Linked DNA regions of Canis lupus familiaris. The protein of the gene in region 4 interacts with the protein of the main gene of each other region in a pairwise test. Links are inferred from orthologs where the notes say so. Each region holds a gene or a part of one and is shown on either strand. Other genes may lie near its edges.

Region 1 (7,017 bases), on a different chromosome or scaffold from region 4:
GCTAAAGAGCATGCCCTACTCGTTCACTCTTTAATTCCTTGCCCGTCTATTTTTCTTGGCTACAATTTCTACAACCTGACTCAGTATCTCTATTTTTTCATTGCCTCCCCTGCCCAGAATAAGTTCCTGTAGGGCTCCCAACTTCCCCTTCCTGTCATCACTCAGCTTCCTTTCCTTCCTGCAGCGGGAAGCCTAGAGCCCAGGGTCGAAGTCCTGATCAATCGGATTAACGAGGTTCAGCAAGGTGAGCTCAGGGATTAGCTACATGATTTGCAGGTTCCTTGTTGAAAAGTGACTTAAGTATTTCATAGCAGATCATTAAACCAAGGATGGGTCCATTTAAATGCAACTGCTATAGTCATATTGTCCATTAACCTGGCGCTGCTGTCACCTGAGCCCCCCAAAAAAGGCATGGGCTCTGGAAGCCTCATTTCTTGCCTTAAAATCTGCCCCCCACCCAGATTTCCTTGAAGAGAAATGTGAAATGTCACTGTTTGCAGGGAATCGTGCAGTTGGAGGCTGCACTTATACATAGTTCTGCTTTTTGGCACAGCAAAAAAGAAAGCCAGTGAGGAGCTGGGAGAGGCCCGAACTGTTTGGGAGGCCCTGCAGAAGGAAATGGACTCACGTAAGCATACCAGGGGTTACCCAGAGGTCTCTGGTGTCAAGCCTTCCTGAACTCAACACTCTGGACATGTAGCATCCTTGCTGTGGCCAAGGGCTCCTGCCCCCTCTGCAGCATCAGGTCCTACCAGTCTCCTACTAGTAGGGTGGATAGGAGTATTCCCAGAGTCCCCTCCAAGCATCCTTCCACCTCAGGGCCTGTGAGGCGGTTCAGCCCCAGATAGTACAGGTCCTTCTTGCCACCCGTCATCCTAAGCCCTTACCTTGAATGTTCCTATCTCCAGTAGAACTCCCCCAGCCATCCCATTTAAGGATAGCACCCTGTCCCCACCGGATCACATTCCCCTTAGAACTTAATGTGTTTCTCCATAGCACATATTCCCAGTTCATCTCTCCTCTCCGTGTGAACACACTGGCCTCCACAGTTTCCTCAGTCAGCCATCACCAACCCTAGGGCCCTTGACTGCTTACAGGGAGTGTGGGCTCAACTCCCAAGGGTCCACATTTGGGGTTGGAGTAGAGCTGTCCCAAAGTGCCTGTGCAACCAGGGGCAGGTGCACTCCCTGAGGGTGCAGTGGGAGGTCTCCGATGCCTGAATGTGTTACTGTGTTTTCCAGTGAGTGGAGAGAAAGTACGCCTGAAAGAGATCTTGAACAAAAAGCAAGGTAATTGCAGCGACTCCATCCCCCTGCAGAAGCCAGTCTCTCCATAGTAGCTGAAGCCCTTTGAAACCTGAATTAGCTTGTATTCCTCCTGTGGCTTCTACCAGCCAGATGCAGGACTTGATCCTGGAACCCTGGGATCATGCCCTGAGCCAAAGACAGATGTTCAACCACTGAGCCACCGAGGCATCCCTCCACTAGACTTGCAGTAAATGACAAAGTCCCATCAGGTGTCCACAAGCCCACACATGATCTGACCCTATTTTCTACATCCAATCCTGATGTCTTGAAGGATTTTCACGTGGCCCTTGGCTCCTCTCCCTGCAGAGACCCTAAGAATCCTCAGGCTGCACTGCCAGGAGAAGGAGAGTGAGGCACAGAGGTAAGAGCTTCCACCTGGGCCTTGTTCTGCCCACCCCCTTGATCTGGGTGGAAAAGACACCAGGAAAATCAGCTCTGGACCCACGGTTGCATTATCTTCCTCTGTAAAAAAGAGAAGCTAGATGCAGGTCTTCCCACCTCAGTCCCAACAGCACACAGTAAGGGTACTCTGACTCACTCAGATAATCATTCATTTGCTAGAACTACCAAATTATTTCTGTGGTTTTATTCTATGCCTGGTACTCTTTCTAAAATAGGCTCCTTGGTTCTCTGTGCACTCATGTGTTCCCTCATTTAGGCATCTAGCCACCCAGTGTCTCCATCCACTTCAATATTCGTTAATCCATATCTCCACATAACCTTGATTTAGCTCATTTCATGACCCAGAGTCCCCAAGCCCTCGTATACCAACATTGGAATGGTGTGGGAAATTTGGAGGAGATTAGTTATCTGTGTGCTTGTGCACCTGTGTCCATGTTGATCTCCCTGATTTCACAACAGTATTTCCAGGGGACACGTGCCCATGCCCCCCCCATAAAGTGATCAAAGAAGGACCTCAACCTGGAAAGCCAGAACAGACCCCAAGAGGAAGCAGAAGCCCCACCCCAGCCCTCTCCTGGGGAGGTATTCAGAGACTGTGAGAGCTGCCTTGCCTCTTCCCAGGAAGCATACCATGCTGCAGGAGTGCAAGGAGCGAATTTCTGCCCTGAACTCCCAGATTGAGGAAGAGAAGAATAAACAGAGGCAACTGAGGTAAAGTCCCCGAGGCCAGGCAGAGTGGTGGTGGGTAATATTAGGGATGGGGCTTAGAAGAGCTGGCTGAGGTGAGGCCTGGAGCCTCAAGGTGGTGAAGGTGCTTCCCACAGAGCAGAGGACGTGGGCAACTTTCATATGGTCTATGCATGAAGACCCCTGGCTTGGGCCAAGGTGGGGAGGAATGTCTCAGCACATGGCTCCTCATCTTGTGTGGTTGGTCTGCAGGTTGGATTTTGAGGAACAGCTAGAGGATCTGATGGGCCAGCACAAGGACCTCTGGAAGTTCCATGTGAGTCACCCAAAGCCATTCCTCCCACCTTTCACATCTTCCCTGGCAGTCCCAGGCCCAAAACTCATGATCATGCTGCAGGCCTCCTTCCTCTCATCTGCCACCCCCAGCTCCTGAGCTAGCATGGGTGGTCATATGTCCAAATGGCCCTTAGCTCAATCCCTCGTCATCATCCTCACTGCCACCCGGTGTCCTTCTCTTCACTGGGCCTGCCCATTCATCCCTTCAGGGGCCAGGAGGAACCCTGATGAACCAAGGAGAGGTAATCCATAGAGCGGATAGGAGGGTGTGTCTGCAGCCATGACTGACACAGGGCACACAAGTGGGGATCCAGGCAGACCATCCTGACCACCTAGGAGTCCAGAGAGAATAAGTGTTAAGATGGAGGGGCTCAGTGAGGAGGCCACACAAAGGCAGGTGGAGCTGCAGTGCCAGGCTGGTAACTGATTCTCCAGGGAACAGTTGTGATTTGTAATGTTTTCGGGATGTCCTGTAAGAAATAGTTGCCTCAGACCTGATCTCAAAACTGGCAAAGTTCCTGAACATTAACCACCTCATGAGCCTCAAATGCAGCATCACAGGTATCAGGCGAGACAGTTCCAGGTGCAGACAGTAGCCAGTACAAAGGCCCTGAAGCTGGAACATGCCTTGTGTGCCCAGAGGCCCAGAATAGTAGGAAGTGAGGCAGGCTGAGTAGAGACCAGATCCAGATAGACTTCTCTGAAGGGCATGGGAAGAGGCTGGAACACATGGACAGGCCTCCTCTCTACCTACTCAGGGGCCAGAGCAGATGGCCCGGGAGATTGACACCCTGGACAGCAGCAAGGAGCACCTGCTCAAAGAAGGTGAGAGCGAGAAGGGGGAAGCCCTGATTTGCCCTGCACTGCCCTGCCGTACCCTGCCCATTGTCCCTTCTTGCTGCAGAGAAGCTTGTGGAGGCAAAGCTGGAAGATGTGAAGCATCGTCTGTGTTCCCAGTTTGGGGCTGACGGCTGCTCAACCATTGCTGAGGGGCTCTTTCTCCGCAGCCAGGAGGCTGCAGCTGCAGTGTAAGACCAAAGAGGACAGGGACAGGGAATGGGGTGGAGGGACGGAGTTTCCAGTGCTGATGGCCCCACCCTCAGGCATCTGTTTGAAGAGGAGAACAGGAAGGCCCAGGGGCTCCTGGATGCTGCTACACATCACCATGAGCAGCTGCAGCAGAAGTGCCAACAATTGCAGCAGAAGAGGCAGAGGTGGGCATGGAGGCCCTGCCCCCAGTCCCCAAGAGGAAGGTGGCTGTGAGGGCACCTCTGCTCCCCTTTCAGCTCATCTCCCCATTTCTTTACACCCTCTTGTCCCTTCTCCTCCCCCCTCCCCATACTGACCCCACCCCTTTCTGTCCAGGCTTAAAGAGGAGCTGGAAAAGCTTGGGATGCAGATCCCTGTTCAAGCCCAAAGCAAACAAGAGGAAGGGGCTGGCCCAGGAGAACCTGTGAGACCTGGAATTGGGTGGCAAGGAGCAGAGATAGCTCATAAAAGGAGCTGGGTAGAGGAAGGCAAGGAAGGGGAATCACAGAGTCCTCAAAGATGCTCTTTGGGGAAGGGTGTTCTCATAGGGCATAACCAAGACAGGAGTACAGAGGCTGGCAGTGGTGGGGTGGGAAGGGGCACATCCCAGTAAGGCTGTGGGCACAGGGGTGCACAGAGACTTCGCTTCTCAGACCCTGACCTCCCACAGGCCAATCCTAAGCTCCTAGGAGTCATTCAGGAGAAAGACCCAGAGATGCCCACCAAGGAAGGCCCTATGCCCTCTTAGGCAAGAAGGACTCTCCCTACCCTGGAGCCTATTCAGTGCCATGAACTTCAAGAAATAAAATTACTATTTCAGTACCACTGTCTCAGCTGAGTTTGTGCAGGGGTGGTAGGGCTTGTCCAGCCCAAGACCCTTGACCCCTGAGGCTGGGTAAAACCTTGGCCACATCTCCATTTGGCCTCAGCCAGAGTTCGACGGGAGGTGCCCAGTATGTGCTTCCCTAACCTCATAGTCTCTGCTCATTTCTAGGACTACACACCCTGTTTTGGATCTCCAGGCAGAAAGGTGCACGTTCTGCAAACTCACCCTGTGATTATTTGAATTTGTTACTGAGGCCTGAACTATACAGAACCTACAGAACCTGGAAATCCCAAACATGAGGAACAAGGTGCTTGGGATCTCAGCCAGTCCCTTACCCACAGTCCCCACCGACTAGCTGAGAAAAAAATAATTGGAAGCCAAGTGTAGTTTCTGCTCTTGTGGGCACAAAATACATAACTGACATACCTGTCTATACAACACAGTATGTTAGAATTTTCCATGTCCTGGGAGTCAGTCACCTGAGACTATTGTGTGCTTTTGAGGCAGGTCTCAAATCAAAAAATGTACTCCCCAAAAAAAAAAAAAAATGTACTCCCCAAATCAAGGGCAGCAAAGGTAGTCCAAGTCTGGGATCCTAGGCCAAAATGCAGTGACTAAAGTAGAGATCCTTCCCTTGGAAGGCTCCCACATGCCAGTAGGGAGGTAACATGACAGGAGAGGTCCAAGCAGGCCACCAGTGTGGAGAGCACTGTTTCCACGAAACAATGGGAAAACCTAACCTGGTGAGAAATTATTCATTCAGCCAGACAGTAAGCATCAGCCTCCCAGTTTTCTACCTGAGGTGGGGTTAATCAGACCTGTGTCATAAATGAATAGGTAATCTCAAAGTAACTCCTGCATCTCCTGGAAATTAATATTTTTCACTGCATGCCGGTGGAAACATCACCTTTAAGAACTGCATCTCAGCCAAGCCCATGATGCCCATGATTGTAGCATCAGGTTTAGATCTTTAAAACAGGACACACAATTGCTTCAACAGATGAATGAAAGGCTTTGGCAAAATCCAACACCTATTTACATAAAGAAAAATTATAAACACAGGAATAGAAGGTAACTTCATTTATACTTGGTGGTGAAGTGTTAGAAGCATTTCAGGCATATTTAAATACTATTCATGACATTGAAGTTCTAGACAGTGAAATAGGACCAGAGAAAAAGGACTGGAACCTTCCCCTACCCCTGCTCACAACCACATGACTATCTGCCAAAGAAGAAAGAAAATCCTTCCTGCTAAGCCTTGCAATCTCCCTCCAGGCCCTTTACTTGGAAACCCAAAGATCGTGTCAGCTGGAAAAGGAGAACTGTAGCCCCATCACCACAGTGGGGCAATCAAGAGTGGGTTCCTAGCTGAGAAACACACTAAAATCCATAGCTGGTGGAGTCACTTACAAGGTTAAGGTAAAGGCAGATGACCTAGAAGAGATTGTTCAAAGATTAACCTAGACAAAATACCAAGGAGCCAGGACTCGCTAGGTTTGAAAATAAAACTGTTCCTCCTTCCCAGCTTCTCCAGTTATATCAGGCTAAAGATCACTTTCAAGACACTACCAGCAAAATGGAGCCACAGAGTAAATCTCAGACCAAGGGTGCTGCTTTAAGACCCTTCCTTGAGACTCTTGGGACACCTGGGTGGCTCAACAGTTGAGCGTCTGCCTTTGGCTCAGGACGTGTTGTTCCCAGTTTGGGGGTCGAGTCCCATATCAGGCTCCCTGTGAGGAGCCTGCTTTTCCCTCTGCCTATGTCTCTGCCTCTCTATGTGTCGCATGAATAAATAAAATCTTTAAAAAATGACCCTTCCTTGAGACTCCTAAGAGTGCACCTTGTATATTCTCACAGATGATAAGGCTTTTACAAATCTCAGAGGCTCTGTCCCCACATCACTCTCAGGTTGAGGTAGAGTGGATCCTGTTCCAGAAGTATGGGGCTGGCTTTCGTCTAATAGAGTGGACAGTAGTTTCCTGTATCAGAAATCCAAAAACTTTTTTAAAGGAATCAAACCAATTTCAAATGAAAGGTTTAGAAACAGCTCAAATGAAGAAACTAGTTTTAAAAAGGGGGGGAGGTATGTCTTGTAGAAGAGAGAAAATGACTGAGTGCAGAATCCAGAACCTTGGAAGTCATCCCCAGAACCACTGCACCCTAATCCAGGAAATGATGGTGTGTCCTGCTAGAACCCAAAGTTTCTATGGACCACAGATGGCTAAGTGCCTCCCGATTCCCCTCCCCTTTGAGTGGACCAGCTGAAACTCCCATCTCCGTGCCACCACCGTGTGTCGTGTTGTGCAGGGCCCTAACTGGTCATGTCAGGTCACATGGCTTCAGCTTAAGAGCAACCACACAGAAGGGACTGCGCCCAAGACCGAGTACAGATGATGTCCTAGATTTTGAGCCAAGCAGCTTTATAAACGG
Region 2 (8,129 bases), on a different chromosome or scaffold from region 4:
CCGGGACTCCAGGATCGCACCCTGGGCCAAAGGCAGGCGCTAAACCGCTGCGCCACCCAGGGACCCCTGATTTTATGTTTTAAAGTAATTTCTACACTCTACGCGGTGCTTGAACTCACAACCCCGAGATCAGGAGTTGCATGCTCCACCAACCGAGTCAGCCGGGAGCCCCCAAAATGCTGTGAGCTCGATGAGGTAGGGGCAATACCCACTTTGTCTACCATGTATATACTCAGCATCCTAGCACAGGGCCTGGTGTAAAGTAAGTACTTCCTAAATATTTGTTTAAAAAAAATGAAACGTGTCCGTGTATGTCCAATTTAGGAAATTATTTTACAGTGGTTACCTCTGGAGTGGATGGGAAATATTTAATTTTATTTCCTTCTTTCTTTTTGGATTTTGTGCCTGTTACTTTTATCTCTCTCTCTCCTTTTTAAAAAGATTTTATTTACTTGCTCATGAGAGACACAGAAAGAGAGAGAGGCAGACACACAGGTAGAGGGAGAAGCAGGCTCCATGCGGGGAGCCCGATGTGGGACTCGACCCCAGGACCCTGGGATCACGACCTGAGCCGAAGGCAGACACTCAATCACTGAGCCACCCAGGTGCCCCCTTTTATCCCTTTTTTAATTTGAAAAGACGGATTCTCATCAACCATTCCCTCTTCTTTCTGAGCTGAGTTCTCAGAAGAGAACACAGACCTTTCCTCGGGCCACCCCACCCCTCCATATGAAACCCCTGGGGTCAGCAGTGATTTCTTCCGGATCAGAGGAAGGACTACTGGGGTCAGGACACCTGCACACGGTATGAAAACAGCCAAGGAAGACACGAAGTGACCTCTGAACCTTTTATTGGCCTCCTGCTCCTCAAAGGGTACCCTGTTTTGCTGCCTCAACGCCTCAGAATTTTGGTGTCGTTGGTCTCAGACACCACCTTGCCGTCCACGATCTTGCGGGTGGTGGTCTTCTGGATGGTATGCAAGGAGTTGCTGCTGTCCAGGGCGTCAGTAAGACTGTAACAGAAGCCCAAGCCCCGGTTATAAACAGCTCTGCAGAGTAGCAGGGAGTCAAGGAAAGGGTTGAAAAAGCCCTCCCGATCCCGGCCTTTATCTCCGTATTCTTTTGACTACTTCCTCCATAAAAGGGAAACCCAAGGCCAAACTCCATGTGTGCTCTAAGTATGGCCGGGGCAAGGCTTACTCTCTTCCCTTCTCTAGGGTTGGGGGGGCCTCTGCAACCGTTACTCCCTTGGAGATGCAGGAGCCCTCGCAGAGCTCCACCCCGGTGCTCAGAGGACCCCAGTGAACGGGCACGTGGTGGGGCTTACCAAAGGGGCTCTGGGGAGAAGCATCTCCCCGCCCCGGCTGGTGAGGGTGGGACGAGAGGCCCATTTACCTGAAGTCCTCCCCGTCTTCCAACAGGCGACGGTAGGTAGCAATCTCAGCCTCCAGCTTGACCTTGACGTTCAGCAGGGCCTCGTACTCCTGGGCCTGGCGCTGCCCCTCTGCCCGGGTCTGGGACAGCTCTGACTCCAGGTGCAGCAGGACCCCGTTGAGCTGCTCCATCTGCATCGCGTAGCGGGTCTCGACCTCCCTCAGGCTGTTCTCCAAGCTGGCCTTCTGTGGGGGCACAGGGAGGAGGATCGGGTGAGCCTCGCCATGGAGCGGAAGGATAGTCTCAGCAAGTTTTAGCAGAGCGGTCCGAGTCCCATGACGGCTCATCCCATCTCTTGGAAACTTGAGAACTTAGGGCGTGCCAGGTACTAGGGCCGTGGGTGGGAGCAGTGAGAAATGCAGAGAACCACTCTTTCTGAGCATAAGATTTATGAAGGAAGGGGTGGATTGGGCCGAGACGGGATTGGGTTTGGGCCGACAGAGGGCAGGGCCAGGGGGAGTTGGAGCTGGTGAAGTGAGGCTTACCAGGTTTCTCATGGAGTCCAGGTTGATCTCCAAGGACTGGGCGGTACGTCTCAGCTCCGTGAGGGTCATCTCAGCTTCTCCGATCTCAGCGGTCTGTGTGGTGACCACTGTGGTGCTCTCCTCGATCTGCAGGGTGGGTATAGTCCTCAGGTCCCCCCTCCTTCGCCTCCCTCCCACAGCCTCAGGCCTCTGTGTCTAGCCGGGCACCCAGCCCTTCCCCTCGTGCACCTGCTGAGACCAGTACTTGTCCAGCTCCTCCCGGTTCTTCTGAGCCAGCTCGTCATACTGGGCCCGGATATCTGCCATGATCTTGCTGAGGTCCTGAGATTTGGGGGCGTCCAACTCCACCGTCAACCCAGAGTTGGCGATTTGGTTTTGTAGACCCTTTACTTCCTAAAGGAGAGAGGATCAGAGTGAGGAGAGACTCGGGGTCAGAGCTCCGACAAGGCTCCTCTCCTGCAACTGTCCCTCGTGGGAGACCTGTGGGATCAGCTGGAGAAAGCAGCAGAGAAGATTCTTGGTTTTATACTCTGGGCGATGCCAATCCTGGGTTTTCTACTGCCGATGAATAAAATGCCACCCACTCTGCCCAAATCTATCACCTACAGGTGGTTTCTCTCCCTCACTTCACTCTGTCCCTCCATCTATCCTCCTTCCACAACCTCCTCCTTGTACATTCTTCCAGGAAGCCCTCTCAGCGCCACCTGCCCTCACTCCTCCAGCAGCCCTCACACGTGGTGCTGGCTGCTTCTATCTTTTGTCCTCTCCTCGCTCTCTCACCCATGTCCCCTTGACCCCATCACACTGCAATTCAGGTGACCGAGTATGGCAATGATCTGATTAAGGAGAGCCCGGGCTGGTAGTTCTAAACTTCTCTGCCAGCTACTTACAGGCAGGCGGCCTGTGCCATCTAGTGCCCTCCACCCCCGACTTGTTTGGCTTCCTCCTTCCCGGCCTGGCCAGGGGCCCCTGCTTGCCTCCTCGTGGTTCTTCTTCATGAAGAGCAGCTCCTCCTTGAGAGCCTCGATCTCTGTCTCTAGCTGCAGCCGAGTGACATTGGTGTCATCAATGACCTTGCGGAGCCCATGGATGTCGCTCTCCACGGACTGGCGCATGGCCAGCTCCGTCTCATACCTGGGGGCAGGGGGAGGGGAGGCGATCAGAGGGCCTCATTCTGACCCAGGACCTTCTCACTAGGCCATCTGAGAGCGCCCCTGGCCCCCGCAAACCAGCCGCCGGAGTCTGGATCAGGTGGTAATCCTCTGGGCAGCCTTCTCGGTTCTTGGGGGACAATGTTCGTAGACTGGGTTATATCCGTGAATAAATACATGGAGCCTAGCTCCTACCCACCCCGCTCTGACCAGAGCCAAAGATCCCGCTGTGAGCCCCCGCCTGAGTGGCCCAGCCGGCACCAGACGGTTCTTGGGGCCACCCCGGCCTCCCCAGCAGCCCCAGGCTTACTTGACGCGGAAGTCGTCAGCAGCGAGCCGGGCGTTGTCAATCTGCAGAACGATGCGGGCATTGTCCACGGCACTTGCAAAGATCTGGGGGATTGGGGAGAGGTGGCTCCGTGAAGGGGAAGTCAGTGATGGGGGCCGAGCCTGGCAGTGTTGTGTCTGAGTGGAAACTTCTCGATCCCAGGCATAGTCAGAGGTTCTCCTTGTGCACCCACCCCCTTCCACCTGTGCCCCCTCACACTGTCGCTCCTTTCCTGGGGCCCCAAATTCCAGAGTTCCCACCGGTCTCCCACCCCCCCTTCTCCGAGGCCCGCCTGCCCTGAAGTCAGTCAGTCCTCTCCTCGGCCCTCTCCTGGTATTTTTTTCCTAGTGCACCTGTTCACCTCCCCCCTGCTCGCCCCCATTGGCCCCTCCCACAGGTAGGCCTCCTGTTTACTCTTAGATGACTCAGCCTTAGCCACATCCGCTTAACCCTCCAATTGTCCTCTTTCAGGCAGAAGTCAGGTGTCCAGGTCCTCTTTCTGGGGCCTTATCTCCCGTCCCTCCCTCCGTGCCGCGGACTTCCTCTGCAAGACTCTCGCCCCTCCCCTTCTCCCCTTCGCCTGGGAAAGGGCCCTGCCATGCCCAGTCACCGCACTTGGAGTCCCTGTAACCGGCGTGCGTGTGCGGGGGAAGTCCAGGGCATGCACCCCCTCCTTGTGGAAGAGGGGCGGGGTGGAGATAGAAAGCAGGAAGGAGTCGGACACCCCACCCCATTAAAATTCCAATCCCTGGGGGAGGAGGAAGAAGCCGCCCACGTAACAGGGTATGCCAAGGCTCTGGGTTGGGGTGGCCCCCTTACCTGAGCCCTCAGGTCCTCGATGGTCTTGAAGTAATGCCCCCAGTCTCTGACCTGGGGGCCCTTCTTCTCCAGGTGTTCCCGGATTTTCATCTCCAGTCTCTGATTATCAGCCTCCAGGCTCCTCACCTTCTCCAGGTAGGAGGCCAGGCGGTCATTCAGGTCCTGCATGGTCTCCTTCTCGCCCTGGATGCCCCCTATGCCCGCCAGACCCCCGGCCATCCCCGCGGCCAAGCCCCCGGACCCCCAGCCGCCCCGGAAGCTGGTGGAGCGGGATACGGAGATCCGGGAGCCCGAGCCCCCTGCGCCTGCATAGACGCTGGCCGCACTGCTGCTGATGGGCCGGACCCGGTGGCTGGGCGCCTGCACGGAGCCCAGGGACCGGTAGTTGGAGGAGAAGGTGGAGCGGGCGGTGAAGCTCATGCTGCTCGGAGGGAGGGCCGGAGGGCGACTCGGGAGGCCAGGGCTCAGGCTCGGGCCAGGGACGGTGCAGCGTCCGCCACCGAAGTTATATCCTGGCAGGAGTGGGTGGGGACCGGCCCGGCAGGCCCCGCCCCCCCCCCCCCCCCCCAGGCTGGGCTGCAGGTGCACCGCGGGGGTATCGCGTCCGGGCCGCGCCTCCCCGGCCTCCCTCCCCCAGCACCCAACACCCTGGCACCCCGCACCCTGCAGCCAAGGCCGCCCTCCACCCCCCGCAGAGGCGGTGAGCAACCTGGACGGACCAGGGCAGCAGGTGGAGCCGGCCCTCCACGCGGAGTTTGGGGCAGGAAATAACGTCCTTAGATCCTCCTCCCCAGGGTACGGGAGGTCCCGGCACATTGGAATTTGGGGGTTTGGGGAGATGATAAGTGAGTGACGTCAGGTGCGAATCTCTGAACCATCCTCAGCCTGCAGCCCAAGTTCCCACCTGTGGAGAGCATCTGGGGGGGTCCTGGAGCCCCAGGAGTCGTGGGGAAGGAAAGTTTGGGGCTGGAAAGGAAGAGAAGCTCAACCCTGAGTCTCCCATCTGCCAGTCTACACCACGACCCCCGCCACACTCGGTTCTCAAACATACCCCCTTGCACCTGTTCATTAGCACGCACGCACCCACGCCCCATCGTAGCCATGTGTATTGTCAAACACCCACTCGGGGTCAGGTCACCCACCAAGTACGAACAGGTCGGTTCTCGGAATCCCCTCCCTCTTGGTCCCCTCCCCTCCCCTCCCCTTCCTTCCCCTCCCTTCCCCTCCCTTTCCAAGGAAGCCTGCCGTCAGCGGGACACTTGGTAATTTAAACGCCCGAACACTCTTCATTTCTAAACACGTGTGTGTCAGCCTTACCCACACCCTGGGGTCAACAAACACTTCCTGAGTGCTTTACAGTCCAACAAGTATTTATTGGGCACCTACTGTGTGTCAGACCCTCCTAGAGTTGCTGCTGGGAAAATAGCCCCAATAACAGAGGCTGAAATCCATCAAGGGATCGCAGGGGGTCCCACACGGTGTAGGGTCAGCCCTTGTGGCCAGCCCCCTCCCCATCCTTACTAGGATTTTTCTGCAGGTGTCCCCCCCCCCTCCTGCCTCTCCTCCCTGGACCTCAAGCCTGTCCCCCAGGACCTAGGTAGGTAAAAAGGATGGGAGCAAAGAAGTTCCCACTGCTCCGTCTGGGGCCAGTGGCCATCCCCAGCCGAGTGAACCTGGGGAATCCTGAGGTACAGGGCCTTCTGGTCTGTCACCGCGAGCAGCCCGTTTGTCCAGCAGGGCCTGACCTGGTCCACTCGGCTCTGCTCTTTGCTCTGGAGTGGACCTATTGATTCTTATCGAGCTGCCAGCTGAACTGAAGAGATTGGGGGCAGCCGTGAGGGCAGGCCTGGGGGAGGAAGGGATAGAGCCGGGCCAGGGGACCGGCCGGGGAGGCACAGCTCAGATGTGGGGCTTGGCCCTGGTTCTCCCGGGCCTGCCCTTTGGCTGAGGAAAGCCCTGCAATGTGGGAGCCGGCCAGGGGCGCACCAGGGCCTGCGAAGGCTAAGAGGCAAATGGGTGCAAAGTAGCAGGCAAATAGGCGCCCGCTCGCTTTGCATGGCAGGCTTCTGGGGCATGAGAGGTGCCAGCCCTTCAAGGGTTCCTCCTGCCTTCACCTTCGCCTTCCCCCGCTGGGTTCCAGAACCGTCGTGTTGTGCAGACTTGTACGGTACCTTACACAGATTAAACGTGTGGTGTGTTGCCTTGGCTGTTTTTGCTAAGCTTCGGGTCAGCCAACTTGGACTCTAGGCCGGCTGTGTGACCTTGGGGAAGTCACCTCACTCTAAACTTCGGTTTCCTCACTCGTACAGGGAGAATAATAAAGCCCATCCACCCAGTCTATCTCCTTGAGTGCCGGTGGGTGTGAGTGTTATCACTCCTCCATGAGACGAATAAATACCAGTTACTTACTGCAGAGTAGTAAGTCCTCCACACGTCCAGGAGGGCCGAGGTGGGGCGACGATTTAATTGTAAAGTGGTTCAATGATAAGAGGTCTAAGTCACTTAAGACCCTTGGGGGACTTTAAATTCCACCAGGGATCAGGCCCAGATCCCAGGATTCTTAACCAAACTCCTGCCCAGATACTTCTTTGATCCCTACCCCATCCCAACTGCTCAGGACCTTTTGGGGCCGGAGGGGGAGAGCAGCCAGCTGGGTCTTATCTCCCATAGCTGATGTCTATGGCCACATTCCTGACCTGTTGCAGCATCGGGCAAATACCAGCCTCGGGCTTCTAGCACCGGCTGGCCTGCCCTTTCCTGCCCCTTCCAGACTGCCGGGTGATTCAGAGCCCTTTCACTCCGAGGGGGGTGAGGGGGGTGGGGGGGAGTTTCGGCTGCAGATTCCCAGCGCTGGGGCCGCGGAGTGGAGTCCAGCGGTGGCCGGGAGGGAAGGGGAACAGGCGTCCAAGCGGGAGGGCCCTGGGAGCCTGGGCAGGAGGTGGCCTGCTGAGACAAAGTCTGGAGTACAGAGGCCGCCTCTAAGGGGGGATTGCATTCTGGCGTCGTTCCGCTGAGGGGGAGCGGGAACCTGAGAGGCAAGTTTATCTCCTGAGTAAGCTCCGAGATGACCCTGATAAGGGGTCAGCCCTTTCCTCCCCCTTCCCACATTCTCCATCCGAGGGGGAGGGGGAGGGCCGGGGCTAACAGCCGGGCCAGCTAGCCGGTGGGTTTAGGGGTGGGGATTAGGGATGGGGAGGGTCTGGGCCCTGGCAGCCCTCCAGGGTTTGCTTCATCATTTAGGCTGGAAATGACCTACTGGGCCCTGAGGAGGGAGGTGTCTAGAATAGCAGCTGAGGTGTGAGGGCGGGGGTCTGTGGCCCAAACAAGGAGGGCAAAATATCCTTCCATCCTCCGGAAGGACTGGGGAGGACTTCAGAAGGGACTTCCCCCAGGCGTGAGTGAGTGTTGGAGGAAGGGAGAGGAACCTCCCCGCGGTGGGGAGGTTGGAGGCGGTGAGGTGGGTGCAGGGAGCGGGTCCTGGGAGGCTCCCCTCAGCTCCCCTCGCTGCTGCCACCGAGAGAGCCCAGAGCTGCAGAGGAACCAAGGGAGGACGAGGAGCACGGGGCAGAGGGGGACTCCCTGAGGCCCAGCCCTGCATCTGCCATGTAGGGGGAATCTCTGTCAACGATTTTGATTTAAACAATTAAGGAAATAGGGGGTGCTGGGAGAGGCCGGGGCGCCAGCAAGTGCAGGCTGTGGAGGCAGGTGGGGTGGTGGGGCCTGCAGCTGGGGTGGGCGTAGGACTGAATCTGAATCTCTCAAGACTTTGAGACTCTTCTGGAGACATCCCTGGCCCGTTTGGAGGCCGTGGTGCTGCTGTCCAGTGTGGAGTCAGGGAGGGTTTCTGAGGGTTTGGGCCAGACCCTTTTCCCCGGGGCTGGGAGGGTCAAAGAATGCTCTAGCACTTGTGTAT
Region 3 (6,791 bases), on a different chromosome or scaffold from region 4:
TTGCCCATTGACACAGTGTTTTTTACTAATCTCCCTGCCTACATCTCTTCCCCTTGGTGCATCCCACACAGAACAGCCTGAATAATTTTTTTAATGTATATTTTAAAATGTTACTCCCCTGCTTAAAATCCTACTTGCCTGTGGCAACGTTCCTGCCAACTACCTTTGTGGCTTCTCTCCCTCAGGTTACCATTTTCTCCACACACCCATCTTTTGAAAACAATGAGCTACTCTCAGGGTTCCTAAAGCAGCTAGGCCCCCATGGTGTTTCACCACGCTATTCCTGCTTGCTGAAATAGCTCTTTACTCATCAAAGTCCTATACATCTTTCAGGGCCCCTCAGATTACCACCTCTTCGGGGAAACCTTTCTGGACCATGTCTCTCCCCGCGTTTACTTCTTGTTTAACACAGCCTGTCTCCCCCACTAAATTATGACCTCTTTGAGGACAGGATCAGAATCTTAGTCAAGTTTATTTCTGCCCGAGCTTTGCACACAGTAAAAGTTTATTGAATAAATGAATCCCTGTATGTGCCTCCCCACCCTCCGCCCCCACCCTGGACAGGAAACCATCCTTAAGAGGGTAGCCTGATGGTGAGCCAGGCACGTTTGGACTCCGGGTTCCGAAGAGCTGGAAGTGATGTTCAATGAGCCGAGACTCTCGAGCATGAATTAAGCTAGAAAAGTTGGAGACGAGACCCCTCTGGGTTCCGTCAGGGGTGGGCTTGAGAGTCGGTGGCCGACACCGGAGTCTAAGTTCTCAGAAAGAGTCGAGAGGCCTAGGCTAGAGCGTGAGGAAATTTGGAACTGGGAAGTACGAAGCGCCTAGTTTAGGGTTACCTGTCGCGGAGGGTGGTGGCGCTGGGACCCAGCGTATGGAAGGGTCACTCCTGGGTCTGGAGTGGGCGGGGAAGGGGCTCGCTCCTTCTCTGTGTTCCGTGCTCAAGCCCCGCCCCTTTCAGGGGAGCCTTCTCTGGATTGGCTGTCGTTCCTTAACGTCATACGGCCCCGCCCCAGCGCGCGCCCCGCCGCGTGCCCACGCCCGGGCGGCTGCTGCAGCCTACGCTACCCCGCCACAGCCTGCGGCCCGCGGAGCCGGAGCCCGACCCCGAGCGCGCAGAGCTCGACGTGGGCTCCTGGGCCGCGGCGGCGGACAGGCGATGCTCCAGAGGCCTGAGCAGCCATGGAGGCCGAGGCGGGCGGCCTGGAGGAGCTGACGGACGAGGAGATGGCGGCGCTAGGCAAGGAAGAGCTGGTGCGGCGCCTGCGGCGGGAGGAGGCGGCACGCCTGGCGGCTCTGGTGCAGCGCGGCCGCCTCATGCAGGAGGTGAATCGGCAGCTGCAGGGTCACCTGGGCGAGATCCGCGAGCTCAAGCAGCTCAACCGGCGCTTACAGGCGGAGAACCGCGAGCTGCGCGACCTCTGCTGCTTCCTGGACTCGGAGCGCCAGCGCGGGCGGCGCGCCGCGCGCCAGTGGCAGCTCTTCGGGACCCAAGCATCCCGAGCCGTGCGCGAGGACTTGGGCGGTTGTTGGCAGAAGCTGGCCGAGCTGGAGGGCCGCCAGGAGGAGCTGCTGCGGGAGAACCTGGCGCTTAAGGAGCTCTGCCTGGCTCTGGGTGAGGAGTGGGGCCCCCGGGGCGGCCCCGGCGGCGCTGGCGGCTCAAGCTCCGGGCCGACACCCGAGCTCGCCTTGCCCCCCTGCGGGCCCCGCGACCTGGGCGATGGAAGCTCCAGCACCGGCAGCGTGGGCAGTCCAGATCAGTTGCCCCTGGCCTGCTCCCCGGATGACTGAGGCTCATCTTCCTTCACGTCGACGCCCGACCAGACTGCTTCCCAAGCGCCGGGACTGCGGTGGACCTCCGGACCCGGACGCCGTCCCGCCTGTGCACGAGGGGCCGCTGGCATGGATTTGGAAACTCTGGCACCGAGGAGGGCCCCTTGCTTTCTCTTGGTGGGGCAGCAGGGAGACTGGAGGCTGGAGCGGAGGGACGTGCTGGGAGCGGGGTGGGGGCTAATAAACTGGAACGGAAGCAGAGCCCCTGGCCTGGGCTGCGTCTGTTTGGGACTCCCCGGGGTGGGACGAGGGCGGGGACGTTGAGACGGGGTACCATTACCGTCCGGAGGGGCTGCAGAACTAAGGTGGCTGACTCCCCCACTCCCTCAAGCCTGGGGCAGGATGTGGGACGGTGGTAAGCCCCTAGCTCCCCCCATTAGACCTCCGGAGGGGCCGTAATCCGGCCCCTGAAGTGGCTCCAGCTCCCTTCCCGGCTCCTTCCTGTCCAAGACAATGGGGCAGGAAGCAGGTGTTGGGGGCCTAGAACCCACTCAGCGGCCTCCCCCGAGGCTGAAAAGGGCATAAGAGCGCCCTCCTGTGGCCCACGCAGGCGAGCTGTGGGCCCCCATCAGGAGAAAGACAGATAATCCTTTTAGTTTGCACCCAGCAGCACTCCATTCCTCCTTTCAATCTTGGAGATGAGGCATAGCAGATGTAACAATTCCTCAGATAAGACAACTGAGGTCCAGATATCAAATAATTTTCCAAAGTCATGCAGTAAGTCTGTAGAACTGAGACCGGAGCCTAGGGCGTCTGGTTCGAAATGTTCTCCCTTTTGCTTCTGGGTTCAGTGAGACCAGGACAGAGCTTCGAGCCTTTTATTCCATTTTGGCAGGTTTGTATAAAAATACTCTCTGTAGGAAAATAAATAGCAGCTGCCTTCGTTTTGGAGGCTTGGATTCCCTGGAGCTAAAGTCTTCTCAGAGCTGGGGAGGGGGGGGGGGTGCAGTTCAGCTCGTCACAGAAGCCTCTGGCACTCTCCTACCATTCAGGAGGGGCCAGCAGAATGCCCTGGTTCAATCACTTGGTGCTGCTGGCAGTGTGGGGCTGGGCGAGTTAGTGTTCTAGGCTGGTAGAATACCACCTTCTGTCAGAGTAGGATTGGGTGGATCACAGGAAGAGGGTGATGAAGACTATAGGTGTGGTGGTCTGAAGGGGGTTAGGGCTCTAGAGGACTCCGAGGGATCTACAAAGTCCTTTTTGGTTGCCAGGAGTTTTCTCGCACAAATGGGAAATATTTTGTCTCTGATTTAGTGCAAATTGTGCTAAAGAAGCCAGCTCTGGAAAAACAGTGGGCAGTTACATGACCCCAAGCTGGCTCTACTAGGAAGCAAAATATGCTCAGTGTCATCTGGAGGAATGGAGAAGAACCTGAAGAGGGCATGGGATTATGGTCCAGACCAGCTGGACCAATGGGTGGGGAGACATTGGCTAGAGTGGCATCCCCAGGTACCGGGGCTGAGGTGCCTCATAAGGCAAGGAGGGTGGGGGAGCCGAGAGGGTCAGAGGATGGGTCCCCGCTGCTGCTGCTGCTCCTGCGATGGGCTGAGGCACAGGGCTCAGGGGTGCTAGGGTAAGTGAAGACCGGACTAGGGGTGAAAGGAGTCAGGGAGGGTGTGGTCATGAGTGTGGGGGTGTGCAATGCTTCGGGTTCAAGCACAGGCCCCGAGGAAAGAGAGATACAAGGTACAGGGCCGGAGGTGGCTGGTGGGCTGCTAGGACCGCCCGCGCCGCCAGTGTCGCTCTCCGTGGCCCGTTCCGGGATTTTGCAGATGGGGCGGTGGGCTTCAAGCACGAGCTCCAGGCGCTCCTTCTGCTTCTGCAGCTCCTCAATCTCTCGCTGCAGACCGGATTTCTCGTCTTCCAGTTTGTCGGTCTCCTGCAGGGGGTTAGGAGAGGAGTTAGAAGATGAGGGCTGAGTACCGCGTAGCCTCAGGAGGTGGTGGTAATTGGGGGAGTGGGAGTGGGGGTGGGGGGGTCTCCAGCGAGTCTGGACTACAACTCCCATGAGCCCTTGGAAGAAAATGGGCACGACTCCCTTCGGGCCCGGGAGCATCTTCGAAGGAGATTGTCCGCGGAAGCTTTGACTCTCCCCTGCTTTTCTGGGAGTGAGACGCGCGGTAACTAATTTCTAATCGCATTTTTCTCGTCGTTTTCTCCGAAGGACTGCTCCTCCAGCGGGGACTGGGGGAAGGGGACTTAATATACCGGCGCCCCTCTGGGGCCCTGCAAGCTCAGGGGAGCCGCGCCCGTCTGAGGTTCGGTGGGCCGCGGCCTGGACACCCTCCGCACCGGTGGGTGCTCACCGCCTGCAGGAAGTCGGTCAGTTCCTTCCTCCGGTTCCTGCACTTGGCCGCGGCCAGCTTGTTCCGCTCGCGCCTCACTCGACGGCGCTCCTCCTCCTCGGGGCTGATCTGGACGGGTAGAGGGAATAGTGAGGTAGACCCTGGCCTCTGGTTGCCCGGCACTCGCCGTGTGCAGCGGCCCAGTGCTAGGACCCTGCGGTGGGCATGGCCGTGCGGGGACCCGCGAGCCTGCGCTTCAGGGATCACAGCGCCGCGACTGGTTCTCCGCACTCACGCTTTAGTAAGATTGAATTAATCAGATTTCTTCCTCCTCGCACCCAGCTTTGCCTCCTTTGGTTCCTCTTTCAGAAGCAAACCCCCCCCCCCATCGCCACCACACTCTCCGTAAACCTTTACCCCCCTCATCTCTCAGGACTCAACCAAGATACCCCCACTCTTACAGGGAGCCTCCTCTCGTTGCCCAGCCAGAAGCAGCCTTTATTACTCTGAGCCTCTGGGACCCAGCTGCTCTTTCTCGAAGGACCCTCATTCTCCACCCCCCCTTAAAAAAAAAAGATTTTATTTGTTCATGAGACACTCACAGAGAGTCAGAGACATAGAGACATAGGCTCCCCGCGGGGCGCCTGATGCGGAACTCAATCCCAGGACCCTGGGATCACCAGCAAGCCCAAGGCAGACACTCAACCACTGAGCCACCCAAGTGTCCTCTTCCCCAGGGGTTTGTAAGCACTAAGAGGAGTTAATGAGTGTTGCTGCTGAGTACGTTTTTTATTTTTTAATTTTTATTTATTTATTTATTTAGTAAGTTGTTTTTTATTAGGAACCTATTACATGCCGGCTAAGAGCTTTACACAGATTATTTACCCAACTTTCCTTTTTTTTTTTTTTCCCAACTTTCCATATAAGGAACTGAAGCCCAGAGAGGATAGATAACTCCTTTATGGTCCCAGAGCAGAAATTAAAATCCACTCACTCTATTCAATATTGAGAGGCCTGCTGATGGGGACCAGCCCCCCACAAAGAACCCTACTTAGAGCTCATAGCCCCTGTCTAGGAGTCCCAGAAACAAATAGCCACCCTCAGGTCAGGGCTAAAGAAGTCCAGGAGCCTGCCTCTGGGACCTCACAGCATGGTCCTCTTCTGCAGTTGGTCACACTGCCAATCCTGCTGTTTCTGGGAAAGCCACTCCTGTCTAACTGTTCATCTTTGCAAGATCCTGACTTCTCATCTACCCTGCTGTCAGGGCAAGCTCCTTAATGAGTAAGTCTCACTCCAGTACAGTCTCATAAACCAAAATGAAAGAGGAGCAACTCCCTTAAAGACCCTCTATCTCTTATTTATGTTGGTAAAGATTTTTTTTTTTTTTTTTTTTAGTGTGAAGGCAGGAGCCCTGGTTGGGGAGTCAAGAGTTCCCAACTCACTCTGCTTCGAGCCTCTGTTAGCTCTGGATGAGATAGTGTGGCTTGATGGTTAGGATCTCACTTTAGAATTGAAAAGACCTGTCTCATTACTCACTACTTGTGTAATCTGGGCAAGTGACTACCTCTGTGCCTTCATTTCCCAGCTGTAAAGTGGAGAAAACCAGAGTGCATCCCTAGAGGCTATTTGTAAAGATTAAATGAGATAGGGAAACAGCCCCAGAGAGTAGCTACAGGGAACCCTCCCCTTTCTGTTCCCTCCCAGCACATAGACAGCATACATCTCAGCAGGGATACCCTCTACCATCCATCCACCTTTCCACATGTACACCTTACACGTTCTCATGTCCACCTCCATTCTTGTTCCTGCCATCCTCTCTCCCTGAAATGTCTTTTCTTTCATCTCTATCTATGAAGATCCTACCCATCCTTCTGGGCTAATATACCTCCAGCTTCAGAAAGCTTTCCCTAGCCTAGAATCACCTCTTGCCCTCTGGATCACCCCAAGGGCTCCTATTACTCTCAGCTTTGGCCAGGAGTCATCAGTGGCTCTTCTTCCCCAGCACTCCCTTTCTAAGTCTGTTTTTTGTTTGTTTGTTTGTTTGTTTTTTGTTTGTTTTTTAGATTTTATTTACTTATTCATGAGAAAGAGAGAGAGGCAGAGACACAGGCAGAGGGAGAAGCAGGTTCCATGCAGGGAGCCCAACATGGGACTCGATCATGGGTCTCCAGGATCATGCCCTGGGCTGAAGGCAGTGCTAAACTGCTGAGCCACCCAGGCTGCCTTGCCTGTGTTCTTTTGGCCAAGAACTTGTCCTCTGCACCTCAGCACCCCTATGGGCATCAGAACCAGTGCAATGCCTTTGCTACTTACCTGTTCACAGGGTCGGCGACGTACCCCTGGAGGTGGTCCTAGGACCCGGATGACTCCTGGCCGGGGCTGTGGGGGGCTGTACTGGGGGTAGGTCAGAGGCCTGGGGTAGCTGCTGGGTCCCAGGAAGTGGGGTTGCACCATCCACTGCAGGTCCTGGCTGCCACTCACAGCATTGATGCTTGGCACGAGGTGGAACTTCTGAGGCATAAGAAATGGAAAGCCAAGGATGAAGTCTGTGTAGATTGAGGGGCTTCAACAGGACAGAAGCCACAATTTCATCCACCGTCAATGCAGCTGCTCGTTCCGTATGACCAGAAAGAGCACAACTTGACAGAGAGACTAACTTGGTGACAAATCCCT
Region 4 (7,692 bases):
TTAAGTTATACAGTATGTGCTCTTTTGTCCAGCTTCTTTCACTTAGCAAGATTAGAGATTCATCCACTATAGTGCATATCAATATTTCATTCCTTTTTATTGCCAAATACTATTACATGTGTTAATATGATTTGTTTATTCACTCTTCTCTTGGACATTTGGGTTATCTCCAGTTTTTGGATATCACAAATAAGGTTGCTATGAACAAAACTGTTCTGTATAAGTCTTTGTGTTGATATTTGCTTTCATTTCTCCTAGGAAAATACTTAAGAATGGTTGGATCATAGGGTAGGTAATATGTTTAGTTTTTTAGTTAACTGCCAACTTGTTCTCCAAAGTGACTCTACCATTTGAAATTCTCATCAACAGTGTATGGCATAGGTTCTAGTTTCTCCTCACACTTGCCACTTGATATGCTCAGTCATTTCTTGAGCACTTGGGCTATTACAATGACATAGTTGTCTACTCCCATGCCAATATCATACTGCTTTTCCTACTAAAGCTTTATAAAAGGCTTCCTATTGCATAAATTAGCCATCTTATCACCAATACTCTCCTTCAAAATTTCCGTGGCTCTTTTGGCTCTTCTATGCAAGAATTTCATTAGGTTTCATGAAAAACTCTACTAGGGTTCTGACTGGAAAGATACAAAAGAAATGAACAATTTTCCTTAGCCAAAATGATGTCAGTGGAATGAAAGGATGAAGCCAAATTGTAGTGACTGCTCTCAATGAGTAGTCAAAGGCAAATGAAGAAGAGAAAATGGTGAATATAGTCTGGATAAGACAGAAAAGAGGATTAAATAGTAACTAATAGGAATTTAAGATCAAGGAGAGACTATTTGGGGATGCTTGTATGATGTTTTTCAATTTTTTATTTACATGCACTGTCCCCACTTCCTCATGTATGCTGTGTGTTCCAGCAAGAGAATTTCTCTTTGATAGCTAGTCAGATAATGTGATGTCCACAATACTCCTCCCAAGACAAGAGCTAAGAAAAGGTATATCCTAAAAGGTTCATAACAATGGGATATTTCAGGGATGAATGTCAGAAAGAGCTAAAAAATTTAAGTGTACAAAATCGAAAAAATTATGTTTAAGACATTTCTTTAGGATAAAGGATCAAACAAATCACACACTAAAATAATAGGACCTAAACAGAAGCAGGGCAGATCATGCCCTGCTAACTCTGCAGAAGCTTCTCCACTACAAAAAGAAGAAAAAAATCATTATGTAAACTGTATTTGCAGATATGCATTTTTCTAAACCTTAGCACATTATATATGTGCAAACATAGAAACATACAAACATATATACTTAAGACAAGACTAGCTTTATCTTTATTAAAGTATAAACCCTCCCTTACATTTCTGAACCCACTTATTTTCAGCATCAACAGTATTAAATATATACAACCTATATTAATATCCAATAAAAATATGTCTTTTAGGTGTTCCAGACACAATTCCAATGTGGGGAGGGGTTACTCACACAGAACACCAAAGCAATTCTCAGACACCAGCAAGGTATCTAAGAAATCAACTCAACTCTGGCACTATCTATCCAGAGACAGTATCAGATTCCACAGATTAAAGGTTCCTAGTCTTTTTGATCATTATTTTACATCTTTTCTCTCTTCAAACCAATAAACACCTTGTCCCTTATCCTCACTTCTGCTGTTTTTGACCTTGCTCTCTCCTGTCTTATTAAAAGTGAATCAATCAGAATAAGCATCTACATAGACATAATCTGCCTTCCCATTTGTTGTGCCAGATGACTATCCCTGCACCAATGTGCAGTCTGTGCTCTAATTTCCATTCCTTCTCACCTAATCAATGACATTGTACCACTAAGTCTCCCTCTTTTTCCTACATCTTCAATTTTTCACATCTGTAATTCTTCTCTTCTTAAAAAAAAAAAAAAGACCCTGCTTTTCCTCATATCTACCACCTTATTTCTTTTCTCAACTTGCATCAAAACTCCTCAAAAAAGCTTCTATATCTGCTGTCTCCAATTTTCTTTTAAATCCACTCCAGCAGGACTTTGCCTCGATTCTTCCATCTTTTACCAACTTCTACAATGATTCTGTAGTGTAAAGTCCAATAGTCAATTCTCGGCCTCCCCTCTTTCCTGATAGATCTGCCTCATTTGACCCCACTGATCATTCTCTCTCTTTAAAATACTTTCCTCACTTGGCCTCCAGAACATAATTAGGTCTGAGTTTTTTCCTTCTACTTCACTGATGGCTCCTTCTCTATCTCCTTTGCTGCTCTTCAGCCTTTTACTAGAACAGAAAGGCTCCATCTTTGTTCTCTTTTCTTCTTTATAAGTAGTCTCTCCCAGGTAATCTCAACCAGTCTCATGACTCTGATACCATCCAGGTGCCAGTGACCCCATATTATGACACTAGTTCAGACTTCCCTCCCCAACTCCAAACTCGCATAACCAGATTTTTTACTTACCATTTCTCTACTTTGATAACTAACATGCATGTTAAGTCTGCAATGTCCAAAATGTAACTCCTGAGCTTCCATCTACACTGACTCTAGCCATAGTTTTCCTTATTTCAGGTTAGGCAAATTATAGCCTTTTAGTTGTTCAGGCCAAGAACTTTGTGGAGTAATCCTTGCTCTCTCTTTTTCTCATATTCTACATTCAATCTGGAAGGAGATCTTGCTCATTTGACCTTCAACCATTAAAAGCATTTTAAAATGTATCTCTATACTCCTCTCACTGCTTCCATCCTGGTGCAGGCTATCATCTCCCTGGATTATCCTAAGAGCCTCTTAACTGGGTTCCCTGTTGCTACTCTAATCCTCTACAGTCTATTCTCATTGCAGTAGCTAGGGTGGCCCTTTTATATACCAAGTGAAATATATCAGTCCTCCACTTAAAACCCTGCAATACCTCCCAGTTTTCCTCAGAGAAAAAGCCAAAAATACTACCATGGCCTACAAAACCATGTGCTATCTCCCCTATTTCTGTGACCTCATCAGCCCCTCTTTCCCTCACTCCCACTCAATTATTCTGCCTCCTTTCCTGTTAACTGAATGACCAGGCAAAAATACACTCTTCAAGGAATAGTAAGATGGTCAGTGAACCTGGGATACAGTGAATAAGGGAGACACTACTTGGAGATAAATTTGGAGAAACAGATGGGAATCAGATCAGGTGAAGCTCTGGAAGCTTGTGATTCTATTATAAAAGAAATAAAAATTCACTGAGGAGTCTTTAATAATTGAATTTTTAATCTTATTTGTTTTTAAAAGATCACTCTTGGCCTAGTTAATTTTATGTGGGCAAGGTAAAATTTTTATAAATTGAGTATAAGAGGAAAAGGAAGAGGAAAAGAGAATTAGAAGAATTACTACTATTTTGCAGTAGTACAAATAAAATATAACAGTGACCTAGACCACAACAATCAGATTCAAAGTCTAATTTGAAGGAATTGCTGAAAGGATCTTTTGATGGAACTGTAAGGAAAATTCAATTATTAAAAAACTGTCTAATATTATTTTAACGAAAGCATGACCAGACTAAAAGCCATCTTACATCAGATGAGAAACTTGTTGTGATGCTAAGAATAAACTTGCAACTTCATCAAATCAACATCAGCATAAACCCAGTATTACACCTTATTTATATGGACTTAAAAATAAGAAATAATTGTAGGAAGCATAAAGACTTTTTCATGAACACTAGCTCTGTACAGGAAAAGGATGTTAAACTTGAAGATAGTGTTAGATCTGAGTCAAAAATAAAATATATTAAATGATGTTTCCTTTCTGAATATTTACTATCCATAAGCTGGTCTCACATTAAGTCAGTAATTCAAACATTGATGAGCCTGAATAATTTAAATGACTTTGGAATGTAAACTGAGATGACAAGTATTTTAACTGGAGAACACTTATCTTGACCATGACCAGGTTACCAGTTCACAAAAGAAACATATTATTGAAACACTTTAATCCTAGGCAAAGGGTCAAAGGTTTTCTCTACTCCTTGATCATCTGTATAACCTACCCGAAGTCAGCCATGACAGATATGCTTTACTCTGACATAAAACATCTAACAAAAACAAAAACAGAATTAAAATATTTTAAAACACCTTACTCTGGCAGCAGAAGCAAAAGAATCAGGGCCATGAGCTGCATTTCTTATGCCGTCTGTTCCAAAGAGGGCTCTCAGGCTTCCAGGAGCATCTGTACGTGCCATACCAGAGTTCGCGGGTCCAAGTAGCCTTTTCCACTCACATATAGCATCATCTCTTAAAATCTCCATGGCAATAGTAGGACCACTTGTAATAAACTGGATAAGCTCACTACAAAATAGATAAAAGCTTGATTTGCTTCATTTTTCTGTCAACCTCGTATCTCTGTTAATAAGGATATATTACAATTAGAGTATTTCAACACACACATTAATATTATGATCTCAGAACTACCAGATATAGTGAGATATGCATTGGCAAAATAAAATTTTCATAAGTTGAGTGTCTTGTGGTAGTCTGAGTCACTACAGATCACTAGCATTGCCAAATCATTTACCATTACCAAAAAAAAAAAAGAAAGAAAGAAAGAAAGAAAGAAAGAAAGAAAGAAAGAAAGAAAGAAAGAAAGAAAGAAAGAAATCAGTGTTTCATTGAATTTAAGGCTACTTCAGTGACTTAAAATGCATATTACTGATTAATGCTTTTCCCATTGCTCTGAAAGGTACAGAAGGAAATTCCTTTTTATTTTCATGTGGTTTACCACTGAAGTTACATAAAATTGCATAATAGAGAAAATGATGAGAGTGGTCTTATATTTACAGTTAGAATTTATTTTTGTGTAGATTAGAATTCAAAGAATGTCAGAAATGTTCAGTCAATAAACACTGAGTTGGTCTTAGTGATAAAGAAAAAACAGACATTAATAGGTCTTGGGAAAATATCCTTTTATTTTTGATATTTATATTTGATATTTATGAAAAAATATCCTATAAAAGCTACTCTGGGATATTCTTATCTCAAGTTATTAAAGAATACATACAGGTTCTTGATTAAAAATCCAGCATTGGGGATCTCTGGGTGGCTCAGCGGTTTAGCGCCTGCCTTCGGCTCAGGGACTGATCCTGGAGCCCCAGGATTAAGTCCCGCATCAGGCTCCCTGCATGGAGCCTGCTTCTCCCTCTGCCTGCGTCTCTGCCTCTGTCTCTGTATCTCTCATAAATAAATAAATGAAAATTTTTTTAAAAATCCAGCACTGAGTCACAGTAACCCAAGCCATGAAAAGCAACAGTTCATTTCCCTCTGCCACTTCTGTACATGCACAAGGCAACGGTGACAAATTTAACCGTGAAATAAGTAACACCATTCCTCCCACAGTGTTAGGCAGGGACAGAATACTTTTTAAAGTAAGCCTATGCTTCTCTCTCATCCAAGCTATAAGAGAGGACAGGATTCTCCTGGAGAAAATCACACAGTATGACCCTTTTATACCTATTAATTCTTGATTATTTTATATCAATCATTGACTCCCTTCCATACTTTTAAATAATTTCAATTCATTTTGAAGAGGATTTCTAAAAAACAGGATGTACAAAGAAGTATTCATAACCTCCATTCTAAAAGGCCCACATGACCTCTTCATACATATTCTGCTAGGCCTTAGCAGAAAAAAAAAAAAGGAAAAAAATAGATTTAAGGAATCAAAATCAAGAGAACAAATCCATGTTTATCCATTCAATAAGCACTTAACAATTACCTACTACAAATCAGAATATTCAGCGATATCCTTGCCTCAAGAAACTTATAACCTAATGTCCTGTTAATACAGATTTCTCAAACACATAGTAGACTAAGCCTATGACCTGAGTGTGGCATGTAATAATGCAGAGAATGTAGTGCCTCATCATAAAAAATACTGCTTTATGAGACTACCTCCAACAACTGTAGCTACATCTTTTGTTGTGTCTTTCATTAATACCAGAAAACTAGTTAATTCATTCATTTAATAAAATTTACTGCATGCGGGCAGCCTGGGTGCCTCAATGGTTTAGCGCCGCCTATGGCCCAGGGCGTGATCCTAGAGACCAGGGCATGATCCTGGAGACCAGGGATTGAGTCCCACATCAGGTTCCCTGCATGGAGCCTGCTTCTCCCTCTGCCTGTGTCTCTGCCTCTCTCTCTCTCTCTCTGTCTCTCATGAATAAATAAATAAAATCTTAAAAATATTTACTGCATGCTAATTACATATAAGACATTAAATTAGGTACTGTTATATAAACATAAAGCAAGACTACAATAAAGAATAATTTCCAAGAAAATTATATATTCTAACAAGGCTTGGGAATATTTTATACTACTTGATTTAAACTAATCTCTAACATAATAATTTTCTCATATACAATTTTAAAAAACTCTATCATATGCAGGATACCAAATAGCATGTTTATTATAGCAGCTTAATATCCTTCTTTATTAGAAATGTAAGCATTTCTTTGTCAATAGTAATATAATTTTCACAATATTCACTTAAATTTAAATACATCCCAAATATTTAGAACATCAGTTTCTAACATATATTAGTTGCTCTATTTCAAGGAACAAAAGTATTAGTGAAAAAATAAGGGTTCCATTAACATCGTTTTATGTACACAGGAATGCCAAGAGCACAACAAAAGCACTCAACCCAGGGGCACGTGGCTGGCTCAGTCATAAGAGCTGTGAGTTTAAACCCCATGTTGGGTATAGAGATTACTCAAAAATCTTAAAAACCATTAAAAAAATACTTAACATAAAATATAATTATCACTCTATTTTAATCTACTGAAATCTAAAAAGAAACCTATGACATTTATAATTTTTTTTTGACATTTATAATTTAAATAAATTATCCTATTTGCTTCTGATGATAGTTTAAGATATTTAATTATGAAATAAAAATCCTAATCTAATAAAAGGACAGAAAAAAACAATTCTTAGAAAACAGTTCTCTACAGCTGCAAGATGTTGCTATGGTCCTTTTGACAGATGATTTCCAGGTCAAAACTTTCTGAATTGTAAAACTACGATTCTTTAGTTTTCTGGGATATCCTCCATTGAAAACCCACTTGCCCCAAAGTCAGCACCTACTTTAAAAAGGGCCTTGACTGATGATCTATATGAAAATCTGTTGCTTCTTTCCTGAAAAATAATCAAAATGACAACAGGTAAGAATTATATCTTAAAAATTATTTTACTAAAATATTTTTGCTTGCATTAATAAAATAAAGATGAAATCCTCTATTTATTTGATCCGTATGTAAACTGATTAATGACTTTTCACCAAATATTCTACTCAAATCCTCCCACCTTTCAAATTTTTTGCTACTTGAATATCTATTAAGATGTAAAATTACAATGAATGTAAGAGGCACGATTTCATTTTCTGCTCACGTTCATATCTACAATCTTCCTTTGCACCAGCATCTTTAACATTCTTGAAACAAAGTTTAACATTTGACCAATAAGAGTTATTTGTTCTTTAGATATCAAATAAGTTACATTAAAAAAATGCAAAGCTATCTTCAAATTCAAAATTAGTCACTTTCTTCTTCAGGTTTTTAACTTGAAAGGGTAGACTAGAATTTAAACTTAATAGTTATAGTTTTCTCTCTTAGATCTTGTGTGTTTAAGATATGCTTGACAAGTTAAGCATATCAATGTATT

What was found.
Region 1: the proteins of NME7 (region 4) and SYCE1 interact in binary tests that used the Homo sapiens proteins (3 or more experiments, as listed by UniProt). The two-hybrid records come from large-scale screens. The link is inferred for Canis lupus familiaris from reciprocal best matches to the Homo sapiens genes NME7 and SYCE1.
Region 2: the proteins of NME7 (region 4) and KRT18 interact in binary tests that used the Homo sapiens proteins (3 or more experiments, as listed by UniProt). The two-hybrid records come from large-scale screens. The link is inferred for Canis lupus familiaris from reciprocal best matches to the Homo sapiens genes NME7 and KRT18.
Region 3: the proteins of NME7 (region 4) and FOSL1 interact in binary tests that used the Homo sapiens proteins (3 or more experiments, as listed by UniProt). The two-hybrid records come from large-scale screens. The link is inferred for Canis lupus familiaris from reciprocal best matches to the Homo sapiens genes NME7 and FOSL1.

What each region holds. Positions count from the first base shown.
Region 1 is NC_049249.1:41,695,298-41,702,314, reverse strand, and holds the end of SYCE1 (synaptonemal complex central element protein 1), read left to right. Parts: intron 1-184; coding exon 185-244; intron 245-553; coding exon 554-628; intron 629-1,241; coding exon 1,242-1,289; intron 1,290-1,613; coding exon 1,614-1,668; intron 1,669-2,330; coding exon 2,331-2,420; intron 2,421-2,648; coding exon 2,649-2,712; intron 2,713-3,490; coding exon 3,491-3,557; intron 3,558-3,636; coding exon 3,637-3,760; intron 3,761-3,835; coding exon 3,836-3,946; intron 3,947-4,097; coding exon 4,098-4,249; intron 4,250-4,431; coding exon 4,432-4,442; coding exon of another isoform or gene 4,443-4,509; 3' UTR 4,510-4,560; downstream 4,561-7,017. UniProt on the Homo sapiens protein: Major component of the transverse central element of synaptonemal complexes (SCS), formed between homologous chromosomes during meiotic prophase. Requires SYCP1 in order to be incorporated into the central element.
Region 2 is NC_049248.1:44,454,540-44,462,668, reverse strand, and holds KRT18 (keratin, type I cytoskeletal 18), read right to left. Parts: upstream 4,720-8,129; 5' UTR 4,637-4,719; coding exon 4,217-4,636; intron 3,463-4,216; coding exon 3,380-3,462; intron 3,053-3,379; coding exon 2,896-3,052; intron 2,312-2,895; coding exon 2,147-2,311; intron 2,045-2,146; coding exon 1,919-2,044; intron 1,619-1,918; coding exon 1,395-1,618; intron 1,013-1,394; coding exon 892-1,012; 3' UTR 834-891; downstream 1-833. UniProt on the Homo sapiens protein: Involved in the uptake of thrombin-antithrombin complexes by hepatic cells. When phosphorylated, plays a role in filament reorganization. Involved in the delivery of mutated CFTR to the plasma membrane.
Region 3 is NC_049239.1:51,872,091-51,878,881, reverse strand, and holds the end of FOSL1 (fos-related antigen 1), read right to left. Parts: intron 6,630-6,791; coding exon 6,432-6,629; intron 4,248-6,431; coding exon 4,140-4,247; intron 3,713-4,139; coding exon 3,302-3,712; 3' UTR 2,638-3,301; downstream 1-2,637. Other genes in the region: CCDC85B (coiled-coil domain-containing protein 85B), read left to right, coding at 1,183-1,791.
Region 4 is NC_049228.1:29,198,667-29,206,358, reverse strand, and holds part of NME7 (nucleoside diphosphate kinase 7), read right to left. Parts: intron 7,168-7,692; coding exon 7,117-7,167; intron 4,324-7,116; coding exon 4,116-4,323; intron 1-4,115. UniProt on the Homo sapiens protein: Possesses an intrinsic kinase activity. Displays 3'-5' exonuclease activity with a preference for single-stranded DNA. Does not seem to have nucleoside diphosphate kinase activity.